Linked DNA regions of Mus musculus: regions 1, 2 and 4 are each reported to be linked to region 3. Evidence: microRNA targets listed by miRTarBase, many of them from high-throughput screens and not tested one by one. Region 3 holds a microRNA gene; each other region holds the end of a gene's coding sequence.
What was found. Region 3 holds the annotated microRNA mmu-miR-721 (CAGUGCAAUUAAAAGGGGGAA, at 1,549-1,569, shown strand). A microRNA usually pairs through its seed, bases 2 to 8, with sites in the 3' UTR of a target mRNA and lowers its output. Matches are read on the target gene's strand: a 7mer-m8 pairs with bases 2 to 8, a 7mer-A1 pairs with bases 2 to 7 and ends in A, and an 8mer does both.

Region 1: miRTarBase lists Inpp5e as a target of mmu-miR-721. Seed matches in the 3' UTR shown: 7mer-A1 at 1,292-1,298.
Region 2: the mRNA of Meox2 is a reported target of mmu-miR-721. Seed matches in the 3' UTR shown: 7mer-m8 at 2,240-2,246 and 7mer-m8 at 2,084-2,090.
Region 4: miRTarBase lists Arrdc3 as a target of mmu-miR-721. Seed matches in the 3' UTR shown: 7mer-m8 at 1,691-1,697.

Annotation. Positions count from the first base shown.
Region 1 is chr2:26,395,221-26,398,220 of GRCm38, forward strand. Inpp5e (inositol polyphosphate-5-phosphatase E) reads right to left here. Exons shown (of 10, transcript NM_033134.3): 10 at 1,029-2,751. The coding sequence ends at 2,619. It overlaps Pmpca (peptidase (mitochondrial processing) alpha), which reads left to right. Exons shown (of 13, transcript NM_173180.3): 13 at 199-1,901. The coding sequence ends at 368. Among named protein-coding and RNA genes, the nearest start is that of Pmpca, 7.4 kb to the left of the region's middle.
Region 2 is chr12:37,177,677-37,180,892 of GRCm38, reverse strand. It overlaps Meox2 (mesenchyme homeobox 2), which reads right to left. Exons shown (of 3, transcript NM_008584.4): 3 at 1,359-2,740. The coding sequence ends at 2,516. Among named protein-coding and RNA genes, the nearest start is that of Agmo, 62 kb to the left of the region's middle.
Region 3 is chr5:136,374,130-136,377,345 of GRCm38, reverse strand. It overlaps Mir721 (microRNA 721), which reads left to right and starts at 1,543; the gene lies at 1,543-1,630. All of the region lies in intron 4 of Cux1 (cut-like homeobox 1), which reads left to right.
Region 4 is chr13:80,892,823-80,896,038 of GRCm38, reverse strand. Arrdc3 (arrestin domain containing 3) reads right to left here. Exons shown (of 8, transcript NM_001042591.1): 8 at 1-2,669. The coding sequence ends at 2,613. Among named protein-coding and RNA genes, the nearest start is that of Arrdc3, 11 kb to the right of the region's middle.

The DNA of each region.
Region 1 (3,000 bases), not on the chromosome of region 3:
AAACAGACAGACGGATCTCCTGTTGTCTGCCATACCACAATCCCCGGCTTCCCCAAAGTCCTTTGCAAGCTCCATCCTGTACTAATAGGCTCCTCAGCCTTGGGAAGGAGGCATCTGGTCACTGTTTGAGTGCACACAGTTTGAGATGGAGTTGGAAACTCCACTCTTGCCCTCACTGTCTTTTACTCTCTGTTGTAGGCAACGTGAAGCCAGAAGATATCAAGAGGGTTGCTTCCAAGATGCTCCGTGGCAAGCCTGCTGTGGCTGCCCTGGGTGATTTGACTGACCTACCCACCTATGAGCACATCCAGGCAGCGCTGTCCAGCAGAAATGGACACCTGCCCAGATCATACCGGCTGTTCCGGTAGAGTCCCTTAGAGCTGGCTGTAGAGTGCTTGTGTGCATGTTACTGTTGGTGTAGACACTGCATAAGGCTAGCTAGCTGTGTGAACAGTGCCAACAGTGAAACTCTGGAAACTTGAATGAAAGTTACTGTTGCCACTGCACTTTTGTGTCTTTCAAACACAAGTGGCTTATTTTTCATCTAACAAGTATTTTTCCTGAGTATCTGCCAAAGCAGGTGCTGTCTGGCCACTAGATGTTTCTGGAGCAAGGAAGGCTGGGAAAGATTAGAAAGTCTTGGGACTCTAGGGAGACAAAGCGCCACACTCTGAAAGCACACAGGGCCTACCCATTGGTAGAACCACTGGCATAAATTGTACTCATTTTTTTCCCCTTCAAATAGGATCTCACAGTAAAACCCTGAGTGGCTTGAGACTTGATATAAGATATACTCATCTCAAACTCAGAGACCCTCCTGCCTCTGCCTCCCAGGTGCTAAAATTATAGGCAAGTGCTACCACACCTGGCCTCATTTCTAAAGCTTAAGTTCTTTAACAAGCCTAAAGGTATTTCACAATCTTCTCCTTTGTTTTTTGAGATAAAATACTAATTAGCCCTGGCTGGCCTCACAGTGAGCTTGTCTTTGCCTCAGTTACTGGTCTTTCTAGTAAGAGTCACCATGCCAGTTGTATCTCACAATTATTTACAAGTCCAGTTTTAATTTCCCACTTCATCTGCACTAGTTTACGTGTTTAACTTTTCCAACTGAAATGCCCTCTAAATGTAAAGGCTATCTAAATGTAAATTGCTATGGCTGTACTTTGCCCCCCGACCCCTAAGACTTTATGATCTTGATCTTGGGCCAAACTGGGAAGTTCCAGGATTACCTCAGTCTTTTCTAAGGTGCCAGAGAATGTCCACAAAGAAGCACCAAACTGCTGGGCTGTGGTAGTGCACGCCTTTAATCCCAGCATTCAGGAGGCAGAAGCAGGTGGTTCTCCAAGTTCGAGGCCAGCCTGGTCTACAGAGAGTTCCAGGACAGCCGGGGCTACAGAGAAACCTGTCTGGAACTCTTACCACATCAAACCTTATTCAAGCCAGGAATAGTTGAGGCAGGATTATGAAGTCCAGGGCAGCCTGTCTGGGAGAGAAAAGGCTGTCTTCCCAGTAGAATTTGCAGTTCACAGTGGTTTATTGAAGCAGGTGACTTTCCATATTGGAGAAGCTGATGCTGTTGAGTTTCACCTTATTCGTTGGTTTATTATGGTTCACTGGAGTCCCAAGTCGTCACTTTTTCCAGCTATTGCTGCTTCTGGCTGTGAGCAGGGACAGTACCTAGCAGAAAGACCTGGGATGGGACTGAGTAGCAGGTGACAGCTGAGACCAAATGTTTGGCCTTTGACTTCTATGTCCTTTTAAAACCCTGGGGTGTCCTGAGGCCCCAAGATGCATGCAGACTTCTTCCAAGGTTCACTCTTTGGCCAGAAAGAGTTTACAATTGAATATATCCTTATTTATTTAAAAATATAAATATGGAAAAATAAATGATTTAGAAGACTAGAGTGGATGCCCCTAGGTGTCTGTACATTCAAGGCTATGTCTGAAGGGGTGGGGTAAGATTGAGAGCAATGATGCTCCTAAGCTTTCTTCAAGGAGTGAAACCCAGCAAGGTGCTGTCTGGTAACAATTTCTCATGCCTTTCCGGGACTAGCAGCACAAAAGCAAATGGTCTGAAGCTCCTAAAAACTATGAGTTTAATATAGCTAGGCTTGGCCTGTAGAGTGGAGAGGTCCCTACTCAACTGGGGGTTGGGAGCCTGGGACCAGGATGTAGAACCTCAAAGCCTGTCAAAATGTCTGTAGGGAATATCCCAGAATTGAAGTCCTGGCAGGTTCTAGGCATTGAGCATCTAGGATACCAGAGGTTGCCTGATCCTTCCCTGGAGGGAAGGAGCTACTAGGAGGATACAGATGGAGAACCTGGGCTCTAGCATGAGAACAGGAATAAATAAAAGGAGTTTGAAGAGACAGCAGTGCTCAAGGGCAAGAAGTCTGGACTACTCCTGAGGACAAAACTGCTGCTTGGTGTCCACATGCCCTGCCATGTGCCTGTGGGAACATGGTATAAATGTCCTGAGGGCTGGGTCTGTGGTGAGAGCAGGGAGCCCCTGGCCGTGGTGGATTAGAATCCCAGCATTACAGGAGCAGCTGAGAAGAAGCCCATCCTTTGCAGTGACCTTGGCCCCCGTTGCTGTGGCCAGTCCTGGTCTGGAATCTTCAGGACACGGTGCAAACTGCACTGGAGCTCTGGCTCTTCAGTGCTTCCTGTCTCTGAATCTCCTTTGAAATCCGCCTTTTAATTCCTATCAAGTACAATTCTCGGTCAAACTTGCCGGCAGCTAATGGGATGCTGTGAAAAAAAGACCTTTAATAAGAGCTGGCTTTGCCAGGCGTGGTGGCGTTTAATCCCAGCACTCGGGAGGCAGAGGCAGGCGATTTTTGAGTTCGAGGCCAGCCTGGTCTACAGAGTGAGTTCCAGGACAGCCAGGGCTACACAGAGAAACCCTGTCTTGAAAAACCAAAAAAAAAAAAAAAAAAAAAAAAAAAAGAGCTGGCCTCAACTTCACTCAGCTGCACACCTGCTGAGCCCCATAGGAAA
Region 2 (3,216 bases), not on the chromosome of region 3:
AGTATATTCCATCCTACTCTTGCCTCATTTCATTTGTGAATATCTTGTGTATGTAGAATAATTACCATTATAATGATTGTATTGGTCATAATAAGCTCTAAGTCTGATTTATAAGTGTTTTAGTTTCACAACAAACCTTATTGCTCTCTTTGGTTACGTCTAACTTTCAATTTCTCATTATTTTCATGCCTAAATGAATTATTTCATACCCTTTTCCAATTGAATTCAATTTGATTTGTATCTTTCTTTTACCCAATTTCTCAAGATATTTCATTTTGAACTCAATTGTAAAATAAAAAATGTCAACCCACCAAAGTATATATTAGCAACACAAATATACTTTATATTCATTCAAGTGATTGATAAGAAAATATGTTTATGACAATGAAAATGATATATTTGTCCATATTAATTCAGAAATATTGTTCTATAGTGAGATGAAAATTATTGCACAGATGAAAAAAAAAGTGACTTTTTCCCTGAATACTATTGGTATCACATTAGGATAAATTAAATTAAACGTGTTTTACTAGTTTAATCATTCTAAAGAAAATTCATCAATCACATATTGTTTATTTGGTCGAATTTTTACTCTTTTAATATAAGTGAGGACTGGTAATATTCCTGACTCCTTCTGAGTCAAATGAATAATGAACCAAAAGCAAGGTGATAAAGTGATAATAACAGGGGTTTGTCATCCAAGGTCCTGACACCCTCTTAGATGTGACACTGGCTGTGCAATGAGACACCTTATTTTTCTTCTATCAACAATGTCTGTTAGAAGTGGGGTTCTTTTTACGTTTGTTCATCTCATATTTCACACCAAAGCTAGAGATCATGAACGTGAAGCATCTATTTGCAGACTGGTCAGGGAGTTCAATGGTAGGGCATATATCTACCGCGAGTGAGTTTTTGGGTTTCTCACTAAGTACTGAAAAGTTAGATAAGTATAAACTAAAAGTGTTGGGCTAATGCCCATGCATTACCTATAGCTCCTGTAATATGTTTCCATTTCATTTACCTAACATTGCTCAGTATATATATGCCTATTCTTACAAATTTTATGCCATAATAAAAACCAGAAATTATGAATCTTATTTCATAACTCATATCCATTTAGATTTACACAGAAGCAAACAATTTGGAATCTTTTTAAGCATCTATTTTTTTCAAATCTACTAAAATTAACTAGACATGGTTGATCCAGTCTATGATTCTGGCACCTGGATGACTGAGACAAGAGATTGCTGAGAGGTCAGTGCCAAGCTGAGTCACCTAATGACATCTAGACCAGCCTTGATCCCAAATAAAAGAATAAATCTACCAAACCCAATGAAGTCACAGTGGCGAGACAATAATTATTTCAAGGATCATTTATTTATCTTTTTTTTTTTACAAAATACAAGAACTTGTTCTGCATGAATATAGAGCATATGAAAAATAATGCACTTTCAGAGTCTAATTGTCAGACATTCAGTTTCTCAACTATTCTCTTGAAGAATTAGCTTTGTTTGGCACTTGGTTTTATATCATAAACAAGGAGGAAGAAAGCTTTTCCCTGTTAATTGAATCAGACCCATAAACATTAACAACTTAAAGATGTAAAATCAGACATTTGCCGCACAAGACTCGTTCTGCAAGGTAACTGATTTGCCTATGATCCTAATGTCTTTCAAGATATAAGAGAAGAAGGCTGGAGGGGAGCTAGGTATGTTCTCTAATGTATCTGCAGCAGTTGATAGTCAATGCAACAGAAGATTTGCTTTGTCTGTGGTACAAGGATATGTCCTATCAGACTCTACTGCATTTTATCTACTTGAACACAAGTAAGCACATACTGATTTTCTCTGTCTGACACAAATGTATAAAAATACAAGAAGCTGGCTGTGTTTGTCAATGGAAAAGCCTATTTTTAATCAGCTAATATGAATGCATTTGCTAAAATTAGTGAAGACAGGAAAAATGACTTAGGGGTAATATATACAGAGTTTCAGTACATTTTATATCCACTTGGTGATTTCAGGCACTGTGGCTGTTCAAGATAAACTATTTCATGGATTAACTTGATAGCAGTTTAATTTTCAGTGCAAGCAAAAGCAAATACCTGCCTAGTGTCACACACATGACCTGGCACAACTGGAATGTTCAAAGCATTTTTTATTTTTAACATCTTCACTCTGGAGACATCTTGAGTAAAAACGTCTTATCAAGTTTGCTCTTGGTAGCAAATTTAATTTTCAGTGCAAGCCAAAGCAAACATCCATCTCCCTCTCTGTCATATATAGGAACAAGTGTATTTGGAATACGTTCGCTTTCTCCAATTTCACTGTGGAAGCATCTTCAATAAAAGGCACTTAGTGTAAACCGTCTATCCATCATGAGACACAGACTCGAGATGCCTGCATTTAATTATACTAAGCCACACTGCCACAGACATCTGCCATGTAAACGATGTTCGGTAAGGTTTGCCATCACAATGGTGCTTTCCTGAGAATGGAGCTGGTCTTTGTAGGTATCATAAGTGTGCGTGCTCAGAGCTGTGGTCACTATCGCGGCTGTCCTCGTTTGCTAGTGAGTCCCCTGTCTGCTGGAGGGTGGCTGCACCGATTCCTGACAGCTCTGACGGAAGAAGCGTTCCCTTTTTCACATTCACCAGTTCCTTTTCTCGGGCAGCAGCTCCTTGCTGTCCCCCTTTGACCCGCTTCCACTTCATTCTCCTGTTCTGGAACCACACTTTCACCTTCAAAGAGAGGGAATAAGTAAGTCAGCAAAGGCAATAGGACCTAGTTGCTCAAGTGCCTGCGCACATACACCATGATGCAGCAATTAGAAAAAACAGGCAGGATTGCAGTGAGTTAGATTGCATGTGCGTAGTAATGGAAAAGGCTTAGTACATTCAAAGAATTATCGTAAATTCCAACACATAACACAAAGTTACAAATAGGCGAGGAAGTTTGCTCGGAAGCATTGGAGTGGAGTTTCTCATCGATCAAATAAAATATTATGTTTACCTCTATCAAAGTTTACACATTCTCTGAAATTCATCTTTGACTTGACAGTAGAATTTTTACAGGTTTATCTGCTGGTAAATCCACCTCTGAAAGCGCACTATTTACTACGAAAGTCCCTTAACTTGGAAAGGCATGAATTATCTCTCAGCACATCCTTTCAGATCGGCGGGGGGCATGGGGGGCATAATTCACCTCAGTAAAGGAC
Region 3 (3,216 bases):
GGCCTGGCCAGCTTTCCTTCCCATCCCTGTCCCTGGGGGAGATGCCAGCGCCTGACACATCTCAGCATGCCTTCCCCCAGCTTCTGCAGGGATGACTAGAATTAATGAGCTAATGTTACCTCGCTTAGCAAAATGTGCTGAATAAATCCAGGTGATAGGGTTGTTTGTTATATAATTATGCTGTTTAAGGTCCTGAGTTGCATAACGAACTGCACACTACCTCCAAGCCTGCTTCAGGAATTAACTTATCAGATGATCGTAAAATGTTTTTTGAGTTTGTCATGGTGGGTGGATGTGGATAGTGGCAAAGCATGTTGGGTTGGAGGCTGGGCAGGTGGCTTACAGAACTCCGCATGCTATTCTGTCTATGGGTGTTTTCTGTCTCCTCCCTCAGACAATTCTGTAATTGAACTGCTGAGTTGAGAGGCTTCTGACGTACAGCCTGATACCTAACAATGCTTGTATGGAGTTTAAATGGCATTGGAAATCGTTAACGAGACAGAAAGCTATGATTTCCCCAGCTTAACATGCAGGTCCGGGTTTGGCGTGCTGAAGTTCATTGTTTTGGTCTCCAGCTCAAACATGCTAGGACTATTATACCATCATGTGGTAATTAGCCGTTCCTTTAATACACATAATAAAAATTAAGCCTAAGAGCTACTTTACCAATGGCTTTTACATATCCCAAAACAATATTCCAATGCTGTAGGCCTTTAGTCATACAATGTACCATCGTAAAGTTGAGTCTAATGCACCAAACTATTTGAACATTCAGTTCCTTTTCTATTCTGTGGCCAGTTTTGCTACTTTGACATTAACTTTAGTACTGTTAAATTAAATATAGATGCTATAATGAATAATTACAAGAGTTCCAGAACTTCCATTTACAGTGGGGCGTGCTGAGAATTTGTCTTAAGGCGTAGTTGGTTACTATTTGCTCATAGCATGTGTGTTCTCTTCATATGTTACTGGATTCCTGCTGAATGGCAAGATGGAAGCTATTTTTTCATCAGAAGCAGACACACTGGGTCCTGGCCTTTAAATAGGGATGGCCTGGAGGGGCCTGGGGAGATGGCCCAGCCAGTTACGTGTTTGGCAAGCATGAGAATCCACATTCCATCTCCAGTACCCATGTAAAAAGCTCCTGTGAGTTCCTAACCCCTGGAGCTGGGGAGGTAAAACTGGTGGATTCCTGGCCTAGCCAGGCAGCCTAGCCTACTGAGTGAGTTCCAGGCCAAATGAAAGACACTGTCTCAGCAAGGTGGAGAAAGATTGTGGAAGACACCCATCATCAACACCTTTCCACACACACACACACATGCATGTGTACAGAATGCAACCTTAGCTCCTGAAAAGTCAAATTGGCGCTGGCAGCTCCTAGACTGTTCTGCGAGCATAGCTCCTTCTCCTCCTTATCCCTGACCTGGATCAAGCTCAGATTGTCCTTCTGTATAAAGGATGTTGTGGGCATAGTGCTCATTTCTCTCAATCCATTTCCCTAGCCTGAAGACATGGAGGGCAGAGAGAGATTCAGGTTTCCTGGGAAGACAGTGCAATTAAAAGGGGGAAAAAAGTACCTGGGATGTTCTGAGAATTTCATTTTTCTTGTTATTGCCACTCCTGCTTGGAAGAACTATGTTCCCAAAATAGCTCTAGCAATCTAGCATAACATAAATATTTTAATGCTGATTAAAATAATAATGAAAAGTCATGAATGAGAAAGGGACTGTGTATAGAGGCCGCATAAGTGCCCACCAAGCCTGAGAGTCACATGATGGACAGTGTTGGTGTTAAGCCCCAGTGCTGGGCTCCCTCAGGGCTGCAGACTCTAGCTCCACACGTCCTGGTGACGCATGGAGTGAATGCTGTGAACACACTGACATCCCAGAGAATTCCAGGCCAGCCCTTGCTTCCAGGAACCAGAGGTGGTCTGAAAAATTAATGACTCTGGCATGGAAAGTTAAGTGAGTTCTTGAATATATACCCTCACTGATCTGCCATGTGTGATGTTTAGCATTCCTTGAGAGGAGACTAAATCTCCACAGCCATCCCTAGGCGAGGCTGGCGCCCCTGCCACAAATAGATTCAGTAATCTTTCTAAGCCCTGTGACTTGGATATTCTTCTATTCTCAGAATTCCAAAGGGTGTGTTCCCCTGGGGCCCAGCAGGTGGGTTATAATTACCTCCTAAAGAGAAGGAAAAAGGAAGATCATATTGACTGAGAGCATTTACTGCCGGCCTGCCTGCCTGCCTGCCTGTCTGTCTGTCTGTCTGTCTACCTTCTACTGAGAATTCTTGGGAAAGCCAGAGGCCAAAACCCAGTCCTATAAATTGCCTGTGTGTTTTTTCCAACTGTAGACTAAAATCTAACCCTGAGTAAATCTGATGGCAGACATCATTTCTTTGGGGGAGGAGGGCCAGTCTGTGTAAGTATAAAGGAACATAGATGTGGAAGCCAGAGTCAGCTTCATGTATTGTTCCTCGGGAGCCATCAACTCTGTCTTTTGAGAGAGCATCTCTCACTGGCCTAGAACTCACAAACTGCAAGGCTAGCTGGCACTGAGCTAGAGAATTCCACCTGTCTCCACTGCACTACTGGGATTACCAATGCCCACACTTGGCTGCTTATGTGGGTGCTGGGGACTCAGAACCATCTCCCAGCCCCAAAATCATTTTCTTTGTCCACAAGGCCTCCCAAGACTTGTCCAGATGTTCTTTTGCTCTCTGTATTCTAATGGGGAACTTGGTGCCTTTCCTAGCTGGCTGGCCACAGGCCTGCTATGGGGGTGATACTGTGCTTTTATAGGTGCCCCTACTTCTTAGAACTAGCAGCTAGCTTCATGCCTCTGATTGTTCTTAGCACCCAGCATTAGTAAAGGACCATCATGCTACAGATAGAGTTGGGGATAGACCTTCCACAGACTTCAACAAGCACAAAGCGCTGATGCACACGGCTCTGGATTTAATACACAACAGCACATGATCTAAATGTGGTGTTACCTCTAGTCCTAGCACCTGAGAAATGAAGGCAGGCGGATCAGAAATTCAAGGCCAGCATGGTTTACATGAGCCTCTGCCTCAAAAAGTAAAGTAAAATAAAGAAAAGACAAGGGCATGGACTTACAGAGCCCTAGGGCACTTTCCTTTCTCCAAGAGTTTCCATGTATATATAGAATGGTGATCACCTGGAGTCAGCAGGCTTAGTTCAGCTTTCTA
Region 4 (3,216 bases), not on the chromosome of region 3:
ACAAAAACAGAAAAAAAAAAACACTTTTATTTTCCACAAGGAAGAGCAATAGGAAAAGTTAAATCATTTCCCACATGGTTTTCTTAAAACAGAGCCTACAAGGACATATTCAGCACCAAATAAAAGATTACAACAGCCATAGAATATAATCTATAAAGCAAACATTTAATATTGCACTTTGTTTCTCAAACATTTTGGATTTGACTTTTCCTAAATGAAAAATTAGGAAGCTATCTTGAATACTAGAGCATGACTGTGGCCCTCAGGTGTTATGTCAAGAATTGACCAATATTTAGAAGTATAATGCCTCTAAAGAGTAAAGAAATAATTAATGGGAAAAGTAAAACCTTATTTTGCCAAATCGTAAAAGAATTTTGTCACCAGTGCCAATTAATCAGAATATTGGTCATTCTTGCTAATAGAGTACTTTGTCGAACATGGTAGTGAGTGCCCAAGGCCATGCACACCAACAATTGTTCCCTAGTTAGACATAACACAGAGTCAGGTGTTTTCAGACAATCCCTACCAACGAAAACAAAACCACCAAATGCCCTTTATGCCAAATATCCCATCAGCTTCTTCTGGGGGTGGGGGACATTCACAAAATGATTTAACAATTAAAAAAATAATTCACCCCATTTCCTTATTATCTAGTATTAGTTTGCTATGGGAGCACAAACCCTTTAACTGAATCACTTAAAACGCGATTCATTTTTACAACGGGCTTTCTTCACCCTGTCAGCATTATTTCAAACATGAATTATCTTCCATGTTTTCTTAAAGGCCACTTATGGAAAAGCCTATTTTGTATGAAGCTTTAAGACAGTATTTAACCAGGTCAAGCACCAGGCCAGCGTTCCGAGTCTTCTCAGGCACTGTAACTGTGGGGCAGAGGGCAAGGTGGGCAGATGACAAGCTCCATCTCACACATGATGTTGTAACATCAGAGATGCTGGTGTCACTAAGAACACAAGCCAACTCTTACAAAATCACTCTATTTTGTACTTTGAGAAGGTGGGGGTTTTAGTTGTTTCATGAATGTTAGTATATGGTTACAATCCAACCATAAATTATCTTTAAAAATAATTTACTCATGTGTTGCTCTACCTATATATACTCAAAGCTAGAGACCTATCAATGTTTCTTAGATGACAGGAAAAATTGTTGAAAAACAATATTATACACGTGTACAAACTAAAGCTACTTATCCCAGCAAACATTCTAGTTTTTCTACTTATAAAGTTACACACTTTGGAAACAAATTTGGGATTTTATTCTCTCAAACTTGAGCAAATGTATAAATGAAGCTTCCCCCATCATGACCTTGATATATTCTGGCTTATTGAAGTACCTTGCATCAGCAAAACTGATTTCCAACATATGTGTTTTGGAGGTAATTAAGTAACTCTGTATAAAAATAAATGCACTTTTCCCTCCCTTCCCTAGTGACCGGGCAGCTTCCACTCGTTTTTAAAATAATAAAAATATTTTTCCAGAGCAACAGCCCTTGCCTCTGCTGGTGCCCGCCCTACTGTCTTTCTCCACTCTGAGCTTTGTTTCTTCTTATATGTAATGATAAAAAGGGGAATGTGGGTGGGTTATCAGTTTTGTGTATGTCCCATTTCCGAATATCCCTCTCCAAAAAATCCAACCAAATAACAACAATTAACAACAACAACAACAACATAACAGTGCAACAAACATAGACGGCATTCCAACAGTTTGGCAAGTGATGCATTCACCTGAGATTGAGTGATGTTAGGCAGTCAGTAACACAAGGCTGCTCTGCTATCAATAGTAGAAAGGCAACACTCTCACAGAAAACCAAACAACAGCCATACAAAGTCTCTTGTCAGCCTCCTCCTCTTGTCTCTTTTCTCCTTGTATCTGTTGCTTATCTACTACAGTAGGCTGCAAAACATACAGCAAAAGGATTGGCTTGAAGGCATTTGATGTTTGTAAATAAATCCACAGTAGGATCCAAGCTGAAGAGGTGATACATGGTCAGCCTAGTAGGACAATTCTGAGCATGTGCATATGCAGGTAGAGTCCAGGCTACATTAACTTAACAAACAAACAAAAAACCCAAAAAACAAAACAAAACAAAAAACTAAGAAAAAAAACCTGTCAGTGCATTTTGTTTTGTTTTTTTAATGTCAAAGTTTTTCAAAGCTTTCTTTTGTTCCATGTTGTGCTGACCATAAACAAGTTGTAAGAGTATCAAGAGTCTGGCATAAATGGAAAAAAAATGCTGTAGTGACACTGAACTGCACAATGTAAGCATTGAGCATGTGCAAATTTTCAAATAGGAAGGACAACATCCTTCTTTGCAATGGTGTCTTGACACGGATGACCACAGGCTAAGAAGACTGCCCTTAACATGTGCCAGTTTTAAAGAAGGAAAGCTCAGATCTTCAAGCATGTTGGAACAGCCCCAAATGATGCTGTAGGATTCTAAAGCATGATCACTGGTTGTTTCATGTGTTTGCCATCTGTCTGGGCAAAGGCAATTCCACTTCCTCTGCAAACGTGTCTCCAAGATACTTCTCTGTCCTCAGCTGGAAGAGATACAGTTCAGAACCCATGTCAACTTGACTCAGTCAAGTGTTGCTTCAGCGAGAGGGGCATGATGGTCTGTCCTCGGATGACTGATCAGGATTTGGATCAATCTAGTAGGAATAAGATAAAATTTACAAAGTTAACTTGGTAAGGTGAAGGAAGAATGCAACACTTATCTGCTTTTCAGTAACAATCAGCAAATATAACCAATATAATCAGAGGCTATACATAACTTCTTAGGCTAATTATACACTGGTGTTCCCTCCCTCGGAAGTGCTACATGAGAACGCAAGGGTACTACTAGCATTATAGTTCTGCATGAATAGTTCAATTGCACACAAGTTCCTGGCGGGCTCTCTTTTAGCAGGGCAGTTTCACTCAACATCAGCGGTGCGTACACTCAGATATAGCACTGGAATATAGCATCAAACCGCTCATGTCCTTTGTAAAGTGACTCTTTTGTTCTTGTTCTAAAGGCTAGTGCACCTTTTCCTGAGGGTCTCTGGCTCCTGTGAAACTTAAGGGTCTTCTGGACAAGTCTGATCCATTTGAACTTAAATGTCAGACACCCACAGTACCTCACAAGTTTTCCACAAAATACACATCTCTGAAGAAAACAGCCAGTTGTCTTGTAGTTAAGTTACATTCCAGAGCTAT